Linked DNA regions of Arabidopsis thaliana. The protein of the gene in region 2 purifies or fractionates together with the protein of the main gene of each other region. This does not show direct contact. Each region holds a gene or a part of one and is shown on either strand. Other genes may lie near its edges. The genes, in order: EIF2 GAMMA, CKA1, AT2G18720 and AT5G27140.

Region 1 (6,329 bases), on a different chromosome or scaffold from region 2:
AAAAACGAGAACAGCTTTAGCGTTATATATATATATGGCCATTAGATATATAGTATAACAACAATAATAAGCCGTTAAGTATGGTTAGTGTTGTAACCGACTAACCGTCCGGTCAAAATTAAGAATGTTCAGTCAAAGTAGTTACAAGTTCATTAATTTCTAACATGCAAAAAGTATCACACCTTCTTCTTTGACTAATTATTTTCCACATAAAAATAATTAATGGTCATAATTAATTCTATAGATTAATGTTTTAATTCGTGACTAGAAATAAAGCTACATAAGCTTCACGGTATAACTACTGGATTAACCAAATACACGTTAGTAAATCAAATTTAATAATAGTCAGACTTTTATTTACTTCGTATCATCGTGATTCACACGGCAAATTCTAATTAACATAGTTTTAGTTAAATTATTACTTATTTTTTTAAAGTTTAAGTTTTAAATTTTCGGGAAAATTATTATTATGTTTTTTAAAATGAGTTTAACACTTTTTTCAATTGGATGGCTTTATTTCCTTTTTTTGTTCCCCTAAGGATTAACGGTCACATAAGGAATTTAAAACCTGGAGCGGACGCTTTTTCCCCGCTTCAAGAAGGAGCGCCTCCATTACAAAGTGGAAGCTATTGGTGGAAGAGAATTTGGCTCTGTGGAAGGGCAAGCCAATAGAAGGTATTGTGGAGCAAGTGCGTGATGAAAGTACCATTCGGGTTTATCTTCTTCCAGAGTTTCAATTTGTGCAAGTATTTGTTGCGGGAGTCTAGGTAACTAAACTTGTTTCCCTGCATGAAAGGTTGGCATGTTAACCCATCACTTTGGAACACAGTCAGCGATTCTTCTCATTTCAATGGGAAGGCGAACCACAAATGCAAGTGTTGTTGAGACAGTTCCAGATGAGCCGAATGGAGACTTGCTGCCTCTGCAGTCCCGTCTATGTAACATAAGTTTTCGCACGGATATACACAGTGGAAGGCAAGACACTCAATTCAAATCGCAAACAAATAACGTTCTTTAGAGAGAAGACATGAACATTTTGACTAAAAAGTCGTATTTATTATAAAAAGTCGTACTTGATCGGATCCTAATGAGTAATGAAGTTGTTCCTTTTCTGAAGAAAGTATGTATAGTCAAGTAGCAGAGTATCTCTGACAAAAATTTCAAAAAAAAAAAGAGAGACAACAAAATTTAGTAATATCTAAGAGAAAAACACAAACAAAGAGCAAACTAGTAACAATAACAAAGAGCAAACTAGTAACAATAACAAATCAGGTACTGTTTGAAGATGTTTAATCCGCAAAGACGAACTCTCCAAAATCCCCCAACGAGAAAAAGAGTTTTATTATCTTTTTGAGGGGTTTAACAATCTTTTTTTCAGAAACACAAACAAAAAGGACAAAAATAACACATAGCTTAGAAAGGTGAAGGAGGAACTTCGATGGTGGTTCCAGCTTGAATCTGACCCCAACCAATCAAACGCCAATGCTTTTCCACACGTCTGCTTAGAGCCACTTTCTCTCCTTTGCTGGTACAAACAGGCGCAGTCAGTTGCAGTTTAGCCAGATCGACTTTAACTCCTACAACTTTGGCTCCAGTGGACATCGAACCAATGTTGAGCATCAGAATCTCTCCTTTCGTTAGCTTTGACACTTTCCCTTGTTTCTCTGATCCCTTTGTTCTCACTCCCAACAAACGTCGTAGAAGAAAGAAGTTCACCTACAGATTTTACATAACCACAAATTAAAAGGAGAAAATACACTAAGAGACCCATTAGGACCATAAAGACTGAAGAGTATGGTTGTGAGGAGTTGTTTATACCTCGAGTTCAACAAATACATCAGGAAGTGAACCGATTTCACCAAGGACTTGACCAACTAATCGATCTGCACGAGTGAGAGTTGGGTCCATTGTTGTTCCAACTCCTATTAGACCTCCAGGAACAGCAAACTGAAGCTCGTTCTGTTCCGCGTAGAGTGAAATGATGCGAGAGTAAATTGGAGTGCATTTTGAGTTGCCACGCTCGTCTTTGGTAACGATACCAGGTCGGATTTCGATTAATTGGTTGACTCTCAAAACACCCTACAATATACATGTAGTTAAGAGATACTGATTACACCATATAAAGCTTGATGTACTTAAGAGGCACAACAAGAGAAAGGGAGAGAGAGAGAATAGATACCCGTAGGATACTTCCACCTGCAACTCCACCTTTGATCTCATCAACCTCATAACCAGGTTTGTTGACATCAAAAGACCGAATCACTATCATATTTGGGGGTGACACAAAATTCCTCTCAGGGATTGGGATCTTCTTGACAATGTACTCGCACACCACATCAATGTTGTATTTCAGTTGTGCTGAGACAGGGACGATCGGAGCAGCATCAGCAACAGTGTTCTGCAACAGGATGTGAAAGAAATTTTAGAACCAAGTTCTTCAATACTTAGCTTAACCAAGTGACGAAATGAGAATGCTACAACAGATCCTTAAGAGATAAGAAAACCTAACCATTATAAATTTCTGAATTGCCTCGTGCTGATTAATGGCAACATTCTCTTGAATAAGATCAATCTTGTTCTGAAGGATGATGATATGCTTAAGTTGCATAATCTCAACGGCAGCAAGATGTTCAGACGTTTGTGGTTGTGGACAAGTTTCATTTGCAGCGATTAAAAGTAGTGCACCATCCATGATGGCTGCTCCATTAAGCATTGTTGCCATGAGAATATCGTGACCCTGAAGAATAGAACAAGAATACATTCAACAAGAATGAAGTAGAGATAAGAAAAGCAAAAGATGGAAACATCAATGAATACTTCTCCATCAACCCTCACTCTTTAAGCCCTTCACCCAATTAAATGAGAGACCCAAAATCATGCAGGTGGAGCACAACAACATCGATAATACACAATAAACGAACAGCTCATTGACACATGAAATGGTTATACACTTATACTATCAAATGAAAATGGTAATTAATGAAGAATAAAGATAACGGTAAAACTCATCATACCGGGCAATCAACGAATGAGACATGCCTCAATAGTTTCATCTTGGAGTTTTCAAATCCGGGGACATCACAATTGGGAGTGTCTTCCTTTCCACTTCCGTAGGCCCTAATACAACAGATAAGTTGTTAGACCTTGACTCAAACCTTATAGTAGAAGTAGAAGATAAAAACACTGTTGTAAGAAGGACTCACTTGTAGCACATTGGTCTAGGGCATTTCTCATCCTCACATTTGTAAATCTTGGCGTTTGCATATCCAAGCTTAATGGTAATGTTACGCTCCAATTCATTTTTAAAACGGACAGTCTGTACAGAGAAGATAAGGAAACCATAGAAATCACTTCACCCACTCCAATTGATCAAACGCTGCAAGCTAGAAAAGCCTCTAGGATTACAATTGTGAAAACCGCATAATCAAATTTTACCTGGACACCAGAAATAGCTTTAACAACAGTGGACTTTCCATGAGCGACATGACCAATGGTTCCTGAAACATAACACTATCATCTTTAGCTTATAGGAACTGCCAGTTTCTTCAACATCAACTTATATAAAAGACTCAAAAAAGCGTTACCTATATTAATAGTGGCCTGGCGAGAAATGACCTCAGGAGACAGAGGATGTAGCACAGTTACATCCAATTTTTTAAGATCTTGCTCAGCCAAACCCTTGTTCCTCGACATTATCAAAGATTGAAGCTTCTGCTCCTGCTTAAAACCGAGCATCAAATCAGAACCCTAACCCTAGTTAATCTGAAAAAGACTACTTCTCAGGTTTTTCTACATCTGCCCTAATCAAGTCGACACACAGATTCTATACCTGAGCTCCGTTACCTAAATATCACAATAATTTCGATTCGCAATCTAAAAAAACATTATGATTACGATTAGATTCCCCGAACTAATCTTCGTGCGATAGAAATGGGAACAATTAGGTTGAACAAATATTGAATCCGTAGGAGATGTAATTCGAGATCGAAACGAACCTGAGCGATGCGAAAGAACAACGGAGAAGGTCAAATTTGAGAGATAAAAAAGAGTGAGAAAGCGGCGCAGCTTGAAGAAGATGCACAAAATGGTTTTTTTTTTTCTATCCAAGTCCCTAAAGGGTTTTTGGTTTCCTTCGCGTAACCTTTTTTTTTTTTCCCTTTCTAAAATTTCTTACAAAATAATGAAATACTAGTATTTAATTAAATTACTATCAGTAGAGACTAATTTACTTTTTCTATGAATCAAAGTATCAAACCCAAAACATTTCATCATATTAATTTTATGTGCAGGGCCGGCCCGACTAAATTTAATGCCTAAAAGCAAAAAACAATTTGGCCCAACATAAAACACAGTTAAACAAAAAAAACCATAAAACTTTTAGAATTCGAACTTGAGACAGACACCTCAAGTGAAAGGCCTATTTGCGATCGACTATAAGCGTTCGTGTTCCTCTATCTCTCTCGGGTTTGTCAATTTATCTTTCCGAACCAGTTATGAATTTGTTTTTTTTTGGAAGGTTTTGAAGTCTTTGAATCTCGGCTGTTGAAGTCAGAAACGTTGGTTTTAAACCAATATCACCAGGTGTAATGGAGTTTGATTGAGTCCCAAATTTTTTAAAAAAAAATCACTGAAAAGAGTTGGGGCAAGTTTATAACAAATTAAGTAGATTAATTCTGTACAACAACAACAAAGGATCTTCATCGTGTAGAACTTGAGCCGTGAAAAAAAAAAACCAGATAATAATCTTGGGTCTAAAATGGAGAAAAAACTTTGAAATGGGGTCAAATAAATAAATGAATGAATTGGTGAGAGAGAAATCACAGAGGTTTTGCAAGAAAGAAACAACCCCACAAGAAGTAAAAATTTACACTTTTGTAATCTTCTTTCCTTTTGGTTCAAGAAGGCACCCCTCCCCCACTCAGACTAAAAAGAAACAGAGGAAGAGCTTTTTTAGAATCCGAGCTTCTCACTAGTGCAAGAATACGAATTCTGGGTTTTCCAGTAGCTCTTTGGCCGGTTTGACACTCGCAAAGTCTTTTTCGTGCATCGAATTCGAAATCTCGTCTATTGAGAAGGGAATGCTGCGAACAATAAACCGGTTTTAGTTTCTACTACTGATATTAATCTTTAAGAAATGATTCGAGTTACCTGGAATTATCATCCAACAAGAAGGAATTGCTGTCGGCATCGTTGGATTCTTCTGTCATGAGCGCACGCATGCTCGATATTACCTCTTGAGACACACTTCGGGTGTTATAGCAGTCGTCCCAGTATAATGTGCATATCCGGTAAAGTTGTTGGACACTAAGGATCTGTAATAAAGTGAAACAAGAAAGCCATTAAGTATGGAGTCTAGGCAAAAACGTGTTTCTAGAAACTAAGAAGGAGCTTTACCGGGCAAAGATCATGTACTATATCATCGTATGATACTCTGTACTTCTGGTGGATAACCTGATAAGTTACGAGAGGAGAAGTATTCGTTTTTGAAGATTCAAGAAACAAGAGTTCCACAAGTTAGTATTAAACAAGAGTAAAACATACCAGGAACCCAACAGCTTGTCTGATGTGTTTCAGTTCATCCCAAGATGGCCCAGCATACTGCAAAATCAAAGAATGATATAATGAGCCGAAAGAAACTTTTTCCGGAAGGAAAACGTGAGGTAGGAACTTACTTCATTGACTTGGCCGCACCACAATTCTAGCTCTGCAAGCCCAGACTTTACAAATTCTCCATTGCTGAATGTACAACACTCTTTACGCAGTAGAAGGCTATTGTAAGATGTTAAGGAAAAAACCAAGTAAGAAAACACTAGTGATCTTGGCTTATATCTTCCATAGGAATTTGAGAAATATCAACCATAGGAAGGTTTGTACTTTGACGAGTATCGATGATAAGGTGTGTAGAAACCATTAGATGTAATTCTCAAGTATTATTTACCTGTTAAATAGTTGCACATTGACGAACGAGAAAGTTTGAGTGTGTATCTTCTGGATGAGTACCAAAGGAACCTGTACACCATGAAACATATGAGAATTTGAGGATTTGAAAACAGAATAATGTCATGGAACTTTTACTATTTCCTTACATAATTATCTTTCAATATGGCAAGCAGCGAATTGAGACCATCAATAATGCTCTGCCAGTGAATAGCAGGAGAATCTTTTCCAAGAGATCTAGCAGATCTTTGTATCCCTCCTTTTGAAATTCTCGGTGCCTGAAGTTCAAAGTTTTGACAGAACAGGACTTGTTACAATAGTAAAACACATTTATTATCAAGGTGCAACGCAACAAGCGAGTGGTCACAGCATTAGGATACAACAACGTAAAG
Region 2 (6,646 bases):
TCTTCTGCCACTTGTGGCGTCACTCTCTCGCCACGTGGCACATGCTCCCTTGCACGCATTCTCTCGTGTTTCCACAAGCCTCTCTCAGTAATAAACTAAAATTTCATTGGGCCACTCAGGCCCCGTTTTACTTAATTGGCTTTTATTAAATGGCCCATTTCAGTCATATATCAATCACAAAACGAGGAGCCCATAATGCAAAAATAACGAGGCAGACGCGCTTAATTTTCTCAAATATCCAAAAATGGCTAATTTCAAAAGGGGTTAACCTACAGATTTGAGGCGCGTGGTGATAACTCGCTTATAGTGCAAGTGGTTATTTGTTTTCCAATGAATAGTTAATTATTTAATACTAATGTATGAAGAAAATTTCATTGGGCCACTATGGCCCCGTTTTACTTAATTGGCTTTTATTAAATGGCCCATTTCAGTCATATATCGATCACAAGACGAGGAGCCCATAATGCAAAAATAATCAGGCAGACGCGCTTAATTTCCTCAAATATCCAAAAATGGCTAATTTCAAAAGGGGTTAACCTACAGATTTGTGGCGCGTGGTGATAACTCGCTTATAGTGCAAGTGGTTATTTATTTTCCAATGAATAGTTAATTATTTACCATACAAATTGTCTTCTAATGTGGGCTTACTAATTACCTTACGGCCTTTTCGTTTTCAGGCCTAGGAAGTTAGGCCCATTTTACATATTTCTTGTCGTTTTCATTTTTAATGTTTTTCTGCTCATTCGTATTACTATCGCAATTTTTTTTAACACTAAAGTAACTAACAAATTCATCTTCGTCAACTAGACTAATTTTAGTTTTTAACAAACCACTTTAATTTTGATTGATTTTTTTTTCTCTTTATGAATTTGCAACATAATCAACATTTTTATTTCTTAACTAACTTTAATTTTCTTCACTCTTTATTTCTTAAAAGATATCGAATAAGTTTAGATACAAATTTATTTAAGTATCTTATTCGATATATTGTACAATGTCTTTGAAAAATAAAAAAAAGAATTCATTATGGCAACGAAAATATAAAACAAAGATTTCATTAACGAAAATACAAACCAAAGTTTTTATTTAATTAAGGTTTTAATTAACGTATTATTAAACATGGAAATTTATTTTCCAAAATTACTGGTACTTTAATGTAAAAGATTCTAATTTTATTTTAATAATGAAAAAATATTTTCTTATAAAATCATTTAAATATTCAAAAAATAGTTAAATAATATTAGTACGTTTTTTGTTTATTTTGGTAAAAACAATTGCGATAGTAGTAATACGAATGAGCAGAAAAACATTAAAAATAATTAAATAAAACTAGTACGTTTTTTTGTTTTATTGTAATTCTGTTTTTTTTTTTTTGGTTTGATACAACATACATGAAAAATATATTTAAAATATAAGACGTTTCAGACATTCGAATTCAGGACAAATTGTTTAATAAGTTGGACAGAAGAAACATCACCTTGATTTAAAAAAAATACTTTGAAGAAAAGATGAACATTACCATCATCATCATCAGTAAGTTTATAGACAGAGAGATCTCTGTGTTTCATTGACTTCTCATTCTGCTGGTTTCTGCTGCCCTAACTTGGGCGAAGTAAGCGTGCGCCTGTCAACAAATCAACAAACCATATTAATTTACCTAATATGTGATTTATATACAAATACAAAGGCTTCTAATTTGTTTTCTGAAGCATGCGTACCATGGCTTCTTTTGCAGTTAATCTGTCTTGATGATCATACCGAAGTAGCTTGTCGAGGAAATCAATCGCCTACACCGTTTTAAACAAAACCCTTAAGAACCCAACTAAACCATTTTCTATACAAGGAGTTAAGGACTCAAGGAAAGGAGTAAACCTCGGGTGAAACTAAGTGCTGATTGTCTGCGTTGATGAATTTGGACCAAGGTTTCCTGCTATGCCTGTAGGTTGTGTTCCATTGAACCAGAGAATGATACAACACTAATTCTCAGCTTCAGCTCATTACATGGCAATGCCAAGCTCGGAGATTACAATATAATGTTTAAGTTTCACATACCGCCCAACAAGTGCTTCCAGTTGTGGATCAAGTTCTAACTGGTACTTGTTCAGATAAGCATTCAATTCGTCAGTCCCAAGCACCTGGTGAATAAGAAGGAGAGTTCATGACGACAATGGAACGGAGATCTCCCATATTCTAATACTGAATTACAAGTAATATACCTTGGCGATTTTCACTAGCTGATCCTGGTTGTCATGGCCGTAGAAGAAAGGTTCCTTACGGAATATCTAATATGGGTAATGAGGAAAAATTAGGTCAAAATTAGATCACCACAAGTTCATTTCTCAGAAAAGAAAGGAAAGCCGTTCAAATGTTATATCATGAACTTACCATCCCTGCAAACATACAGCCAAGACTCCACATATCCAATGAATAGTCATAGTCTTGCAAGTCCACAAGAAGTTCAGGTCCCTTGAAATATCTGATACACATTAGGAGAGATAAACATTAGAGTGAAGCTAGGCAACAGCGAAAAAAATAAAATAAAGGGTATGAAGTAAAACCATACCTTGAGGCAACACGGACATTATACTCTTTTCCAGGGTGGTAAAACTCAGCAAGACCCCAATCTATAAGACGAAGCTTACGCAGCTCATGGTCAATCATAACATTATGAGGCTTGACGTCTCTGTGCATTATTCCTTGTGAATGGCAGAAGTCTAGTGCCTGCAACAAGTAGTCTTACCAAATGTGAGTATGAAGTCAAATGGAATACTTATATAATCCAACCAATACCAGAATTTATACCTTCAACAGCTCATAGATGTAGTAACGAATGTCGTAATCAGTCAACGTAGGATACAAAACTTTAAAGTCTGTGCTGTTAACATATTCAAATATCAAGCTTGGAGTTTTCGAATGTTGATCTCTAACAACATCAAGCAGCTTGACAATATTTGGCCCACCGCATAGGTTCTGAAGTATTTTAATCTCTCTTCTTATCTACGAAAAAAAGATCATAGAGAGATTCAAGAAACAACCCCAATCATCCAAAACAATGTAAAACAATTCACCTTCTTTTTCTTAACAGGTTTGAGGATTTTGATAATGCACTTCTCCTTGCTGTTCACATTTATACCCTCGAAAACTTCACTATATTTTCCACGCCCTACCTTCCTTACTACCTCATAATCATCTTGCTCCCTGAGAGAGCAAATAACAAGATCAAAATGTTAAACTAAAAAATCATTGCTTTACAATAGAAGAACTAAAAGGCAAAATAAGCACAACTAAAAAATCAAATTCATCAATAGAGATAAAAGTAAAGTTTTTTACATTAGCAGCATCAATTTGATTAGATTAGCTTCATCAAGAAGCAAATCCAGAGCAAGCTGAATTCAAATTCAATACAAACACTACAAAAATCGATTAAATTACTTTAGCAACTACCAATTCAGCTAATTCTAGGGTTTAACAATCTTACCCCCATTGAACAATGAGTGACTCGTAATCCCAATAATCCTTGGGTCGAATCACATTGACTTCGGTGTACACACGAGCTTTCGACATCGCCCGCGTCTGGTTAGAATCAGAGATCTCTACGAGAAAATCTGGATCGATCGTAGTACAACCGGAAACTTCCGAGACAGCTCTCGCTGTGGGAGTGACGATAGATGAGCGTAGGATAGGAGAGTGCGCCGTTGGCGCACGTAAGGCTAAGACGGCGCACAGTAACAAGAGACGTCGAAGAGGAGAATCGAAGAAGAGGAAGAACAAGAAGAAAAGCGTATCTATCATTCACTACGCTCTTCCGCACCAGATTAACTTTTTGTTTTCCTTTTTTCGTTTGCGTTATTTTTGCGCCAACTAAATTTGCCATAAAGGCCTGACATAGTATAATGGGCTTTATTTATGGCCCAATATATTTGGACCCAAATAGTCCACCCGCTTATATACATGTTAGGGTTCTTATTTTTGGGAAGCTTTTGAAATTTCGGATTTGCATTAAGCGAGGATTCGATCAGTGATAATGGAGCTAAGTCTCGAGAAAGTCTGCAATAATGGGCAAGTAAAAGGTGGAAACTTTCTATCTGTGTCCCCACGATTCATCAAGGAGGCTGCGACAAAGCCATTTAAAGATTGTTCAGACTCCTATCACTATCAATGGGTTCTCCGACAAATGTAACAGCTAATTGGTTGATACACGCGAAGATTACGCTATGGTTGTTTTAGGAGTTGAGGCATTTGATGGATGAAGAGGCTCAATGTATAGTGTGGAAGACTGCAAAAAGCTATTGATCTTGAAGGGGTTGAATTGGTTAACAATACTGATTTTTGATTCCAATGTTGAGAACTCGAGGGAAGATTCTGTCGTCTTTACTCATTTAGCTGACCAAGCCATGAAAAACAACTAGAGGTAAAAACTCAGATTCATGTATCATCCTCTGTTTTTATTGTTTGCAATTATTTGAAAATTTTGAATTTTTCGTTGAGGACGTCTTATATTATTCAAGAGACACAATTTATTGCAAGATTGAGTAGAGTCTCAATCAAAATGTTGAGGCATATAGTGACTTCAATTATCAGAAAAAAAGATGATAAGACTCTCTGTAGGGACAAATATCCCATCATTCATGTTCTGTCACAAAACCAAGATTCTGCAGCTTACTTATATACTCCTTCCTTCTCTTCTTCTTACCACTAAACCAATTTATAGCTAATATTTGTAAGGGATATATACATTTGTGGAGAGGAATCAATACTCTCTTTTTTATAATTTGGAATTATTAGTTTGGTACAAAGATGTGTGTCTGATCCACTTGGACTCTTCTCAATTTTTAAACCAATCCATTACCACACACACTCCCTCCTTAGACTGACTCCCTATCTTGTACTCTCCATTAGAATGACATAACTACCCTGTTCTGTCTTGTTCATTGCTTTTGGTGGTAAGGGTAGTTTATGGTTTTCTTTGTTTGGAGAATTTGAGTTCTCTTTTTCTGTTTGGTCACAATTATCAAAAGAGAGGAAGAAGCTCATTTTCTTGATCTTATTCTCTCTCTTTTAGTAGTACATTACGGCACGTCTTCTTCATGAGAAGGACTTGAAATAGTGTTCCATGGTGAATTTCTTGAGTGAAAAGAAACTGCGAGCTAAGTGTTCGTAATATGTCAGCAAAGAAGAAAGATCTTTTGTCCTCAGCTATGAAAAGAACCAGTGAATGGTTTTTTATTCTCTTCATAAGATTATTTTGTTTCTCAATCCATTTTTTGTTTCCAGTCCTGAAGTAGAAATCGTTTATAATACTCTTTATTACATCGTTTCAGGATTTCTTCTCAAGAAGTATCTAGTGATGTCACCGTTCATGTAGGAGAAGCTTCGTTTTCACTGCACAAGGTAGATTATAGATCTGTATTTAGCGATCAATCTCTCTGATGTAAAGCCAATGACATGATCACATTCGTGCCGATTCGGTTGTTTTCTCTCTGAATCTTGCAGTTTCCACTCATGTCAAAATGTGGGTTTATCAAGAAACTTGTGTCGGAATCAAGCAAAGATTCAGATTCCACTGTTATCAAGATACCAGATATTCCAGGAGGCTCTGAAGCATTTGAGCTAGCGGCTAAGTTCTGCTACGGCATTAACTTTGATATGAGCACAGAGAACATTGCCATGTTGCGATGTGCAGCGGAGTATCTAGAGATGACAGAGGAACACTCTGTGGAAAATCTCGTTGTAAGAGCCGAAGCTTACTTGAATGAAGTAGCTCTCAAGAGCTTATCGAGTTCGATCACAGTCTTGCACAAATCAGAGAAGTTGTTGCCCATTGCTGAAAGAGTCAAACTTGTAAGCCGTTGCATCGATGCAATTGCTTATATGACTTGTCAAGAGAGCCATTTTTGCAGTCCTTCTTCAAGTAATAGCGGTAACAATGAGGTTGTGGTTCAGCAGCAGAGCAAGCAGCCTGTTGTTGATTGGTGGGCTGAAGACTTAACGGTTCTTAGGATTGATTCGTTTCAACGTGTCCTGATCGCGATGATGGCTAGAGGGTTTAAGCAGTATGGACTTGGTCCAGTGCTTATGCTCTATGCTCAGAAATCTCTTCGAGGGTTGGTGAGTTTCTTACAAACACACATTACCATTTTGGTTGAGTCTCTTCTTTTGTTGAAGTTCCATAAACTAGGGACAAAGAATGATGGGTATCCGTTAAAAGTTTGTTTCGTTTCTTTGCAAATGCAGGAAATTTTCGGGAAAGGAATGAAGAAGATTGAGCCAAAACAAGAACACGAGAAAAGAGTGATTCTTGAAACAATCGTAAGCCTTCTTCCTCGAGAGAAAAATGCAATGTCGGTTAGCTTTCTCTCTATGCTTCTACGCGCAGCAATATTCCTCGAAACAACGGTTGCTTGTAGACTTGACTTGGAAAACAGAATGGGATTACAATTAGGACAAGCCGTGCTCGATGATCTCTTGATTCCTTCTTATTCATTCACTGGAGATCACTCCATGTTTGATACTGACACTGTTCAACGCATTCTCATGAATTATCTCGAGTTTGAAGTCGAAGGAGTTCGCTTAAGCAATAATGGTGTTGATCTTGCTGGTGATATGGAACGTGTTGGTAAACTTTTGGAGAATTATATGGCTGAAA
Region 3 (5,689 bases), on a different chromosome or scaffold from region 2:
TAAGCATAAACATATAAATCAAGCATTAAAAACTTAAAAGCCAGAGACTTTAAGAAAGTTTCCAAACTAACATAATCAAAACACAAAGTAGATACAAATTAGATTCGAAATTCCCCCAAAAACCCAAAGAAAAAGATTTGAAATACAAGTTCAGTGAGAGCAAAACCTGTTCCTCGCTCATCAACTGTTGAAGCCTCTCTTTAAGAACAGGACCATGACGACCACCAGAATTGGGGTTAATGAAAACAACCATAGGAGCATGAGGAGCCATATCAGCAACAGCACCACCAGGAAGAAGTAAATGATCAGGAATAGCCGAGGAATCTTTGCGTTTGATACAGTCACGCATAGCGAGACGAAGATACTCAGGCATCATCAACCTCTGACGAAGCTCTACTTTATCTACACCAACCCATGCCAGATTCGCGAGTCCACAACCTCTCATCGTCTTTGAATCAGCCGTTGATGGTCGTGAAGCCACGAATTTCTCTTTCGATGCATCGGTTTTTGATACCGGAGAGTCCATTGTAGTCTCTCGCCGGAGAAGAAAAGACAAAAAGATGATTACTTTTCGTCCTGTGATTGGAGAAAATGAGGAATATTCGAAACCCAGATAATCAAAATTGGAGTTGAAATGAAAAATAATAAAGGATTGTTTTTTTTTAATCTTTCTTCTTCTTCTTTGCTGAGAGATTTCAAATCAACCAATATAAAATCTTCTTTTGACAGTTTGTATTTTCTTGTCTGTTTTGTCTTTTTTATAAATGATTTAGTTTCGAAGACAGCGCACAAAACGTGTGAATTAATTTGCTTATATTGAAAAAAAAAGAATTTACACGGTTGGATTTCAATGTGACGTCATAAAAATGCCACTCTTTAGATCTTTGATTCTTTTTCTTTTTTTATTGTTTGACATTTATGAAAGCGACTGATAAATGTTTATTTTGTAAAAGTTCTAATTTAGAATAATTTTGATTATTAATAATATTAAACTACTAAGATTTGTATAGTTTAATACCATTATCTTCTGTAACTAAGATTTGTAGATCTTTTGTTTCTGTAAGATCAAATTTACAATTTAAAGTGTACAAAATCTTACAATACTAATGATGGCATAAAGAGATTAACAATGAGATTTTTTAACGTTATTGTTATATCAAGAAAACCAGAGAAAATTAATTAGTAATTGATTGATACATTGTAAGAATAGGATCTAATGATATTTTAATATTCAAAAAGGTTCCATTATAGAGGTTACATCTGGTGAATATGATTGAATACAATTTGATATAGAGAATTAGAGATACTTGCATTATTATTTGCTTCCTATTATTATTTGACTGCATTATTGGTTTCTTTTTCTATGTAAAAAATATTTTCAACTCTCCAACAAAGAAACAAAATTCTCTGACATTTTGCTTAGAAAGAGTGGCGTTTTCGTCATTAAACAAAGGAATAGTTTTGGTGGTAACGTAAATTGTAAAAAAACAGCGAAGGAGACAATAGAAAATGAGAGCAGACATTGAAGTTAGTGGATTTTCCACAGAATGGGGCCTACAATGTTATTGCCCACTCAGAGAAATAGGGTCACTGAAAGTGATAGCTACTTCCCATTGCTGGGATCGTTGTGTACTTTTTCTAACCTAAATTTCCCTCAATGCCTTTTTCTTAACTTATAGAATTGGTCGAAACTTGAAAGTATATACAAATGCCACAGAAAAAAACATCATTTAATACCTTCTTAATTGCACGATATGATATCAGATGTTTTGTAACCAAGAATTGGTCCATGTAAACAATTTATTATGTGGCAGAGGAAGACTCAAATTCAGGTGGCTGATAAAAAGTGGGGTTTAAGATATTTCTTGAACTGGAAGACAATGAGCGTGTGTTCTCATTAGTATTACAAATCATATTTACATTATTATAAAGCGGAACATATTTACATTATACTCCAAATGATGTAACTATAAAATTTGATCTAACAATATATATCGTTAAGAAAAATAACCTAAATTTATCACAGCTTATTCATTTACACTCCTATAGAATCATAGATTTCCTACTCTTTTTTTTTTGTCATCATATAAACATATACTACTTTTTGTTCAAGGATCAATGTTTCTTAGTTTGGTGAAAGATAGAAGTAAACTGGAGTGGGCCAATGGTTAGGCGTGTAAGCCCAAACTTTGGAACGATTTTAGCCCATCTCAAAAGGAGCGTGCTATATTTTGTAAATGAAATTGCAAAATTACCTAACACAAATTTTCCTATAAAAAAACATTTCGGGTAAGAAACCGACAATTATAAAATAAAAATTGTAAGACATGTTTTATTGACACATGGAAAAATGAAGTTGGCGAAAAAGACAAACAGTAAACGTTAAGATAAAACCCTACCTATAAATATACCTTACACGCCACCTGACTTTATCAAAACCAAAAACACAAACCTTCAACGGCACGCTTTCTCCTCTGAAATCTCTGCGAGCAAACTTCTTCATCTACCTCTTACCGTACTTCAGGTTTGTGTAAATCATTTTTATAAGAACTTCAGTGAAATAGATTAGCAACCCTAATTGAATTTAATCGAATCGTAACTATTGTGAACGGAACCCATCCATCTTGCATAAAAACCCTAGTTTCTGAACAGCCTTTCGAAACTTCTAGTGTTATTGTATTGGCTCTGATCAACGTTGTTCTAAAGTTGTGAACTTTGATTGATTGCAACAGAGTGTTTAAGATGAAATCTGTCGTAATGTCGAAGAACAAGGGCTTAGCTGAACAAGATCTAAGTAAACTTGATGTAGCTCAGCTGCATCCTCTCTCTCCTGAGGTCATCTCTCGTCAAGCCACCATTAACATAGGTATACACAAGTTTTTGTTTCATTGAGTTTTGATGCTGAAGAAACTGATCAGCCGTGCATTGAAAGCTAAAGATATGACTATGCTCTCTATATCTCAGGAACCATTGGCCATGTCGCTCACGGGAAATCGACAATCGTGAAAGCCGTTTCCGGTGTGCACACTGTCAAATTCAAGAGTGAATTGGAGCGTAACATTACCATTAAACTTGGTTACGCAAACGCAAAGATTTACAAATGTGAAAAATGCCCTAGACCAGTAGCCTACAAGTGAATTCTTGCTCTTCTTTTGCTACAATAAGGTTACGTAGTGTACGTAGCAACTTATGATATGTGTTAATTATAGGTCTTTCGGGAGTGGCAAAGAAGACAACCCAAGTTGTGATGTCTCTGGACATGAGAAGTACAAGATGAAACTACTAAGACATGTCTCATTTGTTGATTGCCCGGTATAAAATGAGTTTTAACACTATTTCTAAATCTTTTGTAACCATTTTCTATATGTTAATGAGGTGTTTTGTGTGTTGATTAGGGACACGATATCCTAATGGCGACAATGCTGAATGGAGCAGCGATTATGGATGGTGCTTTACTAATCATTGCTGCGAATGAGACATGTCCACAACCACAAACAGCTGAACATCTTGCTTCTGTTGATATGATGCATCTTAAAGATATCATAATCATTCAGAACAAGATTGATCTCATCCAAGAAAACGAGGCTATTAAACAGCACGAGGACATCCAGAGATTTATAACGGTTTGATTCAATTTTCCCATTCTGTTTTTTTTTTGCATTTTTCACTTCTTGATTAGTTGGTTAAGTTTTAAACTTGTTATTACAGAACACGAATGCGGAAGGTGCTCCTATAGTTCCTGTCTCAGCGCAACTGAAATACAACATCGATGTTTTGTGTGAGTACATTGTCAAGAAGATTCCACTCCCTGTGAGGGATTTTGTGTCACCTCCAAGAATGATTGTGATTCGTTCTTTTGATGTCAATAAACCTGGCTCTGATTATGATGGTATGAAAGGTGGAGTTGCAGGTGGGAGTATCCTTCAGGTAAAACATACTCAATACCCCGAAAAACTAGGATAAATCGCGGTTGAATCAATGTAACTTATGTCTCTCTTTGCTTTGTTTGCAGGGTGTTTTGAAGGTGGGGCATATAATAGAGATAAGACCTGGAATCACTAGAAAAGATGAGAATGGAGACACTAAATGCACTCCCATTTACACGCGTATAACTTCATTGTACGCGGAACAGAACGAGCTTCAGTTTGCTGTCCCGGGAGGTTTGATTGGAATTGGGACAAGCATGGATCCTACGCTTACGCGTGGTGATAGGTTAGTTGGTCAAGTCCTTGGTGAAATAGGTACTCTCCCTGATGTCTATGTTGAACTTGAAGTGAGTTTCCAGCTTCTGACACGTCTCATTGGAGTGAAGACAAAGGAAACAGAGAGGCAAATGAGAGTGTCAAAGCTAGTCAAGGGAGAGATACTGATGTTGAATATCGGATCGATGTCTACGGGAGCTATGGTTATTGGAGTAAAGAAAGATATGGTGAAAGTTAATCTGACACTCCCTGTGTGCACCAGCATTGGAGAGAAAGTGGCTATAAGTCGCCGTGTGGATAGGCATTGGCGTTTGATCGGTCGCGGTCAGATTGAGGCTGGAACCACCATTTTTATCCCTTCTCCTCCTTCTTTGGCATGATTATATTTGATGCATTCACATATACCAAACTTGTAGTCTCATTATATCTTCAGAGTATTCCTAATCTGTCACCAAAGGAGATAACTAAACTTCTATGTGCTTATGCTTTTTGTGTGAAGTCTAACTAGAGTTTGATCAATTGCATCATCTTGATTTGTTATTAAAAGTTTTATAGTCTATGGATGTTACAGCTTAATTAACTAATTATCCTACATAGTTCATTTGAGAGAAAGATATAATTTGTGATTGTTGAAACTTGAAACTTGAAGTCTTGAAGAAACAGAAAGAAAGACTTGAAGTCATGGTCTCATTCCTAACGCCCAAAACAACAAAGATTAATAATGTGCAAAAGATGTATTGGGCCTAAAAGGCCTGGCCCATTAGCTGGATTCCGTAAGAAAAAAAAAAAAAGTGAAAAGGAAAAGAAGAAATCGTCGTTGTTGTGGAGAAGGAGAAGAAGGATAAGGATGATAACGGTAAGCGAAGTTTCCTCTTACTCTTCTTCTTCTTCAAACTTCGCGTCTCTGTCTCGTCTCAATCACAAATCATCTTCGAGATTGCGAAGCTCTTCTCTTTACAAAGGAAGCTTCTTCTCTGTTTCGACAAAGACCAGGAGGAACACTTGTAAAGCCAAATCATGGAATCTCGGTCTTGTTATCAACTCTAGAAGGTACTTCTTCTTTCAGATTTCAGATGGGTTCCATTTGAAATCGAAGATAATGATCTTGTTATAGATATTGCGACTTAAAGTTCGAAACTTTTCATGTGAATTTCTCTTGAATTGTGGAGATTTGAGGGTTATTTCATCACTAGTTCGTAGAAATGCTGATGTTTTGTCACTTACTGCTGCATTGTTTGTTGATTGGAGTTGATGTTTCAGCTCTGAGGCTTCGGTTTTTGATCCGTTGGGGATCAATCCAGATGAAACTTCTGGTTTAAGTAGCATTTGGGAAAGCTTTGTGAGTCTTTTGTCACCATCATTTGAAAGCTCTTCCGGTAACAGGCGAGATAAGCCGTCTTCTGGTAGAGGCGTGGCAGGTTCGTTTTGGCTTATCTACATTTGCTTATTGTATGTTTTAGCATGATTGATGATGGTTGCTTTACTCT
Region 4 (5,430 bases), about 17 Mb from region 2:
GTCATGTCAAATAAAGTAGGGCCAAATTTCATATAGAGCTATCCACTTATTTTGGAATTAAAGATTAGGTACAAAAATGCATCACCTACAATCTACGGATCCAAATTATATATCATCACGATTCCCAAATTTACCTATTCACGACAATATAGTTGTTCTAACTATAGTTATATATATCTATATATATATATATATATGTATTTTGTAAGTAAAAATAATATGATTATTTCTAAATTTTCGAGGAAAAAAACGAGGCCATGTCGGAATGACAAAAAAATACTTTTAACGTTTACTAATTTTTAATTAGGAAATTATTGTTCATTGGTAACTCTTTTCCTTATAGAGTATAAACCAACTCACGTTCCTTACATATGTCGAAATGACAAAATATTTGGTTATTGTTAAATTGTTTGTTATTCAAGCAAACAGAGTGTTCTGGTCTTAATAGAGTAAAGATATAAGATTAAAACACACAAAAAAGGTAAATATTGAGCGTGACACTTTTTGCATCAGAGCTTTCTCTACATCAATCATGGATATCTCAAGGTTTCTGCATTTTTGTTCAACATACATATAAGGCATTTTCTAGAGCCTAAAGCCGGATCAATGAAATCCGGGGCCCTATTTAAATTACGAAAACAAAGTACTCTTATCTTAAAAATTATAGAGTAAATAGAAACTAATTTAAACAAAATTCTGGAGTTAAAAACAAAAGTACAATAATATTCTCAAATATTTTGGACCACACAGTTATTTAGGATTTATATGTATAAAACTAACTATTTTCTCCCATTATCAAAAATCAATATATGTATATATAACTAAAATAAAATTTCTTTGAGGCCCCTTTAGAATGGGGGCCACTGTAATGTTTCATGTTCATGTGTTATGGTCCGGCTCTTAGTAGCATCGCAATTTCAATAGGTTCGATTGAGTGATTCAAAGGTTATGGAATTCAAAGCCACATAACCTTTTTACAAATTTGATTTTGTTTTTGATCCACTTTTCTCTTTCATTTATTTATGGAATTGGATTTTTTTTTTATCCAACTCTTATGGATGTTTAGCTTGTGAATTAATCATGTTTAAATCCACTTGTAAATCAAGTCTAAAGCGACAGAACCTTGATGTTTACGTTCTTGTGAACATATTTGTTGGTCTTAACCACATCTTTAACTGATTATTTTTTTTGTCAAGTCTACCGAACCAAATGACAAGGGAAACCGTTTTTGAATTGAATGACTTTGAAAGAGTATCAACATGATCCTAACAAAACGTCAAGAAACTAGACGTGTTACTCACGCATAATTTTGTATATCTGAGCTAATGGCTTACCATAGCAACTGGTTAACAGAAAAGAAATAGATTAGAGAAATTAAAAGCATCAGGAGTAATAATCCTGTTACACCCTCTTGTTTGCTCTTCTTTGCGGGATCTTCCACGGTTTCAAGTTCTGCTTCTTTCTTCCTCTTCTTCGAACACTCCTCAGTTTTGGGTTCTTCCTCATCATCAGCCTCCTTCTTTGTATCTTTGTCATTAACTTCTTCTTCTTCTTCGCATGCTCCTAAATCTCCTCCTTCAAGATTTCTCAAGCGCGCTTCAAGCTGTCGAAAAAAATTAGACCATCAAAGAAGGAAGAAAAATGTAGATAGGATCGGGCGGGAGAGAAGAATACCTTTAAGCGGCTTTCGACTCCCATAGTGTTGTCTTGGCCATTACCAAAAGCATCACACCGGATAGCAAGAGCAGATTTTGCAGCTAGTGAACGTGCGATTTTACCCTTGTTCTCTGGTGCAGCTTGCCTAACCAAAGGTGCGTGGTAGATTAAACCATACTTTGGAGTGGCTTGTTTGGTCTTAAGGGCTTTATATAGGGTCTTTTCAGCTCCAAGAATCTGAATTGTGCTCCATGGTAGCTTTGAGAGGTTCCATAAACTACCACAATGAGATATTAAGCGAGCACCGACTAGCTCCCCGACAAGGGCAGTTAGATTTGGTGCAATTTTGTTCATTTTGTTCTTCAAGTCGTCACAAAGCAGAGTTTTGTCCTCAGCGATTGAAAGAACTTGGTCACAGAGTTCTTGGATGTGCATCAAATCAAGGTCACTGACTTCAGTTCTCGTAGACACCATAGAAGCCTCTTTTAGTTCTGCTTCAACTTCATCAGCCAATATCTGAGATGACATTGGACACAGAAAGATGTTTCATAAAGACAAAACTATAGTTTAATGGAAACAAAAAGTCAAGGAGAATGGTAAATAAGGCTTTACCTCAGAGAAGTCTAGCGTTGCAGCATTAATCCGATTCCCCATTAGTTTAACCACCTTGGCATATAAGATATTGTCCTGTACAATATTAGCAAGCTCGGGAAAATGCAAACCGTACAATTCACAAACGCTCGTAGTGTAAGTGTTAAGCTCTTTGTCAAGATCATCAAGCAGACTGATAGATAGGATTATCATGGTCTCCACCTAACAAAACATTTTAAGTATGAGAGGGGAAAAGTAACATAAGCAAGGGTAAAACAAAACACAGAGAACTCAATGACTACCTTGTCAGAGGTGATTTTTAGTTTATATCTAGCAAGGATGTGAGACAATTCCAAGCTCACTGGAGCTAAATCATTATCATCCAATCCGGATAAAAGTTCGGTTAACTGACTTCTCACACCTCGTAACAGCTCCATAACAGCATCGTTGTGAACACATTCTATGTCCTAGAGGAGAGAAGCAAATCCGTAAGACACAAGCCATATATATACAGAAATATGTAAAAGATCATAACAAAATACACACCAGTTTCTCTGTGATGATATCTCCAAGCTTTGGATCAGCCACAGCTAAGATTTCACCATCATCACAGTTATTTTTCAAAAACTTGTGTAGACCCTTGCTTGGAGTTCAGATGTGTTGTCAAACTTATGAAAAGCTTTTAGCTTAACCATCCTTCGAGCTGACTCTGCAGAGTAGAACTCAGTACCCAAATCCTACAAGAACAAATTTGACATACTTAGAATATTAAAAACAAACGACACATATAGACAAGGTTAAGATCAATGAAAGTAAGAGAATGAATAAGGTAAATAACCTCAACATTAGAGAGCTTTCCTTCATCTAATACTTTAAAGAGTGCAAAACCACCTGACGTCTCAAACAGTACGAGCATCTTTAAGATTACGAGAAACCCTTTAATCAACTCAACATCTCAAAGTCAGAACTATACTTAGTCAAAAACTAATACTTGGAAGCCACGTTCCACTGACAACGGAGAAAGATTCAATAAATACCTAAGAGGATTTAAGCAAAGCTGCTGCGTTAGAGAAAGAAAAAAAGAGGAGCAACGAATTTGCTATAAGGGTTCGAGATTCTTAATCGACGATCTATATATATAAGAAAATAAATATATGATTTTCTATTAAAAAGTTACGGAAAAAAAACATGTGAAAATATAATTTTCACAAAAAACTAAAAAAAAACCTTTAAAAAAAAAACTATTCTTATTTTCTTAAAATGGTATATTTCTAAAAAGAATTATACAATTAATTTTTAAAGATGTCAAAATAACCGACCTTACTTCTAAGGGAAAAGATTATCAAAAACAAAGTTTATTTATTCTCTATCAAAAACAGAGTTTGATCTGCTAATTTTAATATACAAATTGTAAAATATATGATTACCTTAAAGAAACTATAAAATTAATTACTAATTCGAAAAATGATTATAGTTACTTTTTTAATAAAATGTTGGTATAAATATGTTCATCTAATCTACGTTACATACATAATCTTAAATTAATCTCAAGTACTCTGTTCAAAGTTCAAACACATCACCTAACAAGATGACCATTAAGGAATCAAAAAGTGTTCAGCTAAAGGCTAAAACTCATGTAAAATTACAAGCAAAAGCTCCAAAAACTGTGTTCTTCTTTTCTGAGAATCCAAATTCAAATCACTAACTTGAATTTAACATCAACAAACTAGTAAGTGGAATTGCAAAACTGATTCAAACAATTTACTTTCAACTTCGAAAGGGTTCACATCAGAGTATCAAACAATAAAGGAAAAAAGGTTTACAAAAACTTAAATTGGATCAAGAATCTCTGTTTACAATGAGACAAAATCAGAACAAGTTCTGAAGATTACAACCACATCATATCAGACATGACGTCTAAAGTCGGAATCTCCGAAGTTGATCATTGCATTGGTGTTATCGAGACCGAAGTAGCTGTTTAGACCAAACACATCATCGTTGGATAGATCATTCCAAAAGCAGATCTCATCATCCAAATTGACATTGGCCTCTGTTTGTGTTTCTTGTAGTAGTAGATTGATTTGGTTAATCTCTTCCTCTGTTTCAAATCCTTGGATCTCGGAGCTAGGGTTTTGATCAAAAGAAGCAACTTGTGAAGATGATTCTCCACAGATCTGATAGAGAGAGGAGTAACAGTCCTGATCAAAAGACGGAGACGAGAGGTTAGGGTTTTGATCGCCATGGAAAGAAGAAAAGGTTTGATCGCTGCAATACTCGTTGACAGAGTTTGGAGTAAAAGTAGAAGCAATTTGCGAATAAGAAGATCCATCACAATCCTCGACGTCGAGAGAACAAGTACTATTAGGGTTTTGGTCGAAACTAGAAACAAGTTGAGATTTTTCTTCCTTCTCAAGGCAAGCCATCACATGCTTCTTCATTCTCTGTAAACGATCCTCGATAATGCTTAACTCAGAGAGATCATCACACGAATGGTAGAGATCAGGGTCTTCCCACCAAAATCCTAGTTTGGATCCGGCCGGGTTAACAATCTTGGGTGGAGGCTTGCGATTTAGGTAACAATCAGCGATTTCGTAGGCAGAGGAGTAACCGGAGAAGGAATAGACAACATCGGAACTATCGGAGGGAGAGGTTACGAAGACGGCGATGTTAGCACCGGAGATAAGACAGAGATCGGCGGCTTTGGAAAAAACAGTTTGACGGCGTTTAGAGCAAGTCACGGCTCGTTGCTCTTTGGTTTCTCGTTTCTTTATTTCGATTTTGCGCTTTGTTCCTTTCTTCATCATCGTGGAATCAGATGAAGGCATAATGTTTCTTACGGAGAGACAAATAGACACAGAGAAAAAGTGAAAAGAGAGAGTAGAAGCAAGATAGATATATTACCCATATTTATAGATGTAATAGCCGCCTGAGTTATATATGTCAAACTTAATTAGGTCTTGTTGTTTTCCTTTTACTGCCCAACTTTATTTCTATGCATTTAACGTTTTTTTTCTTTCCTACTAAAACGTTTTAGAGATTTCTTTTATTACAACAATAGCAGAAAAAAATTATTACTACTATAAACAATTAAACATATATATTGGATATTCAAAATTATCTAAATATTAGATTTTAACCCGCGTTATACCGTAGAAATAATTTATTTTTTTAAATCAGTATATA

What was found.
Region 1: the proteins of CKA1 (region 2) and EIF2 GAMMA fractionate together in Arabidopsis thaliana (co-fractionation; one large-scale study listed by BioGRID). This does not show direct contact.
Region 3: the proteins of CKA1 (region 2) and AT2G18720 fractionate together in Arabidopsis thaliana (co-fractionation; one large-scale study listed by BioGRID). This does not show direct contact.
Region 4: the proteins of CKA1 (region 2) and AT5G27140 fractionate together in Arabidopsis thaliana (co-fractionation; one large-scale study listed by BioGRID). This does not show direct contact.

The regions. Positions count from the first base shown.
Region 1 is NC_003070.9:1,094,787-1,101,115, reverse strand, and holds EIF2 GAMMA (eukaryotic translation initiation factor 2 gamma subunit), read right to left. Parts: upstream 4,235-6,329; 5' UTR 3,996-4,234; exon of another isoform or gene 3,830-3,995; intron 3,718-3,829; 5' UTR 3,694-3,717; coding exon 3,585-3,693; intron 3,498-3,584; coding exon 3,436-3,497; intron 3,317-3,435; coding exon 3,204-3,316; intron 3,118-3,203; coding exon 3,015-3,117; intron 2,738-3,014; coding exon 2,510-2,737; intron 2,399-2,509; coding exon 2,180-2,398; intron 2,080-2,179; coding exon 1,819-2,079; intron 1,717-1,818; coding exon 1,414-1,716; 3' UTR 1,215-1,413; downstream 1-1,214. Other genes in the region: XIB (myosin XI B), read right to left, coding at 4,970-5,081, 5,149-5,312, 5,395-5,451, 5,542-5,598, 5,673-5,769, 5,939-6,009, 6,087-6,215.
Region 2 is NC_003076.8:26,879,592-26,886,237, forward strand, and holds CKA1 (casein kinase alpha 1), read right to left. Parts: upstream 4,489-6,646; 5' UTR 3,793-4,488; coding exon 3,479-3,792; intron 3,199-3,478; coding exon 3,069-3,198; intron 2,998-3,068; coding exon 2,803-2,997; intron 2,722-2,802; coding exon 2,564-2,721; intron 2,477-2,563; coding exon 2,386-2,476; intron 2,283-2,385; coding exon 2,217-2,282; intron 2,136-2,216; coding exon 2,053-2,135; intron 1,937-2,052; coding exon 1,873-1,936; intron 1,788-1,872; coding exon 1,719-1,787; intron 1,625-1,718; coding exon 1,565-1,624; 3' UTR 1,375-1,564; downstream 1-1,374. Other genes in the region: AT5G67385 (Phototropic-responsive NPH3 family protein), read left to right, coding at 5,163-5,218, 5,322-5,391, 5,494-6,108, 6,235-6,646. UniProt on the Arabidopsis thaliana protein: Casein kinases are operationally defined by their preferential utilization of acidic proteins such as caseins as substrates. Phosphorylates casein in vitro. The alpha chain contains the catalytic site.
Region 3 is NC_003071.7:8,113,813-8,119,501, reverse strand, and holds AT2G18720 (Translation elongation factor EF1A/initiation factor IF2gamma family protein), read left to right. Parts: upstream 1-2,503; 5' UTR 2,504-2,524; intron 2,525-2,690; exon of another isoform or gene 2,691-2,732; 5' UTR 2,733-2,742; coding exon 2,743-2,866; intron 2,867-2,964; coding exon 2,965-3,133; intron 3,134-3,163; exon of another isoform or gene 3,164-3,189; coding exon of another isoform or gene 3,190-3,209; coding exon 3,210-3,312; intron 3,313-3,395; coding exon 3,396-3,623; intron 3,624-3,708; coding exon 3,709-3,927; intron 3,928-4,012; coding exon 4,013-4,582; 3' UTR 4,583-4,647; downstream 4,648-5,689. Other genes in the region: DGK3 (diacylglycerol kinase 3), read right to left, coding at 167-526; AT2G18721 (uncharacterized protein), read right to left, coding at 2,396-2,503; SCY1 (SECY homolog 1), read left to right, coding at 5,050-5,252, 5,463-5,620.
Region 4 is NC_003076.8:9,546,275-9,551,704, reverse strand, and holds AT5G27140 (NOP56-like pre RNA processing ribonucleoprotein), read right to left. Parts: upstream 3,164-5,430; coding exon 3,086-3,163; intron 2,985-3,085; coding exon 2,940-2,984; intron 2,887-2,939; coding exon 2,794-2,886; intron 2,715-2,793; coding exon 2,550-2,714; intron 2,470-2,549; coding exon 2,269-2,469; intron 2,173-2,268; coding exon 1,675-2,172; intron 1,604-1,674; coding exon 1,331-1,603; downstream 1-1,330. Other genes in the region: AGL39 (AGAMOUS-like 39), read right to left, coding at 4,152-5,072. UniProt on the Arabidopsis thaliana protein: Required for 60S ribosomal subunit biogenesis.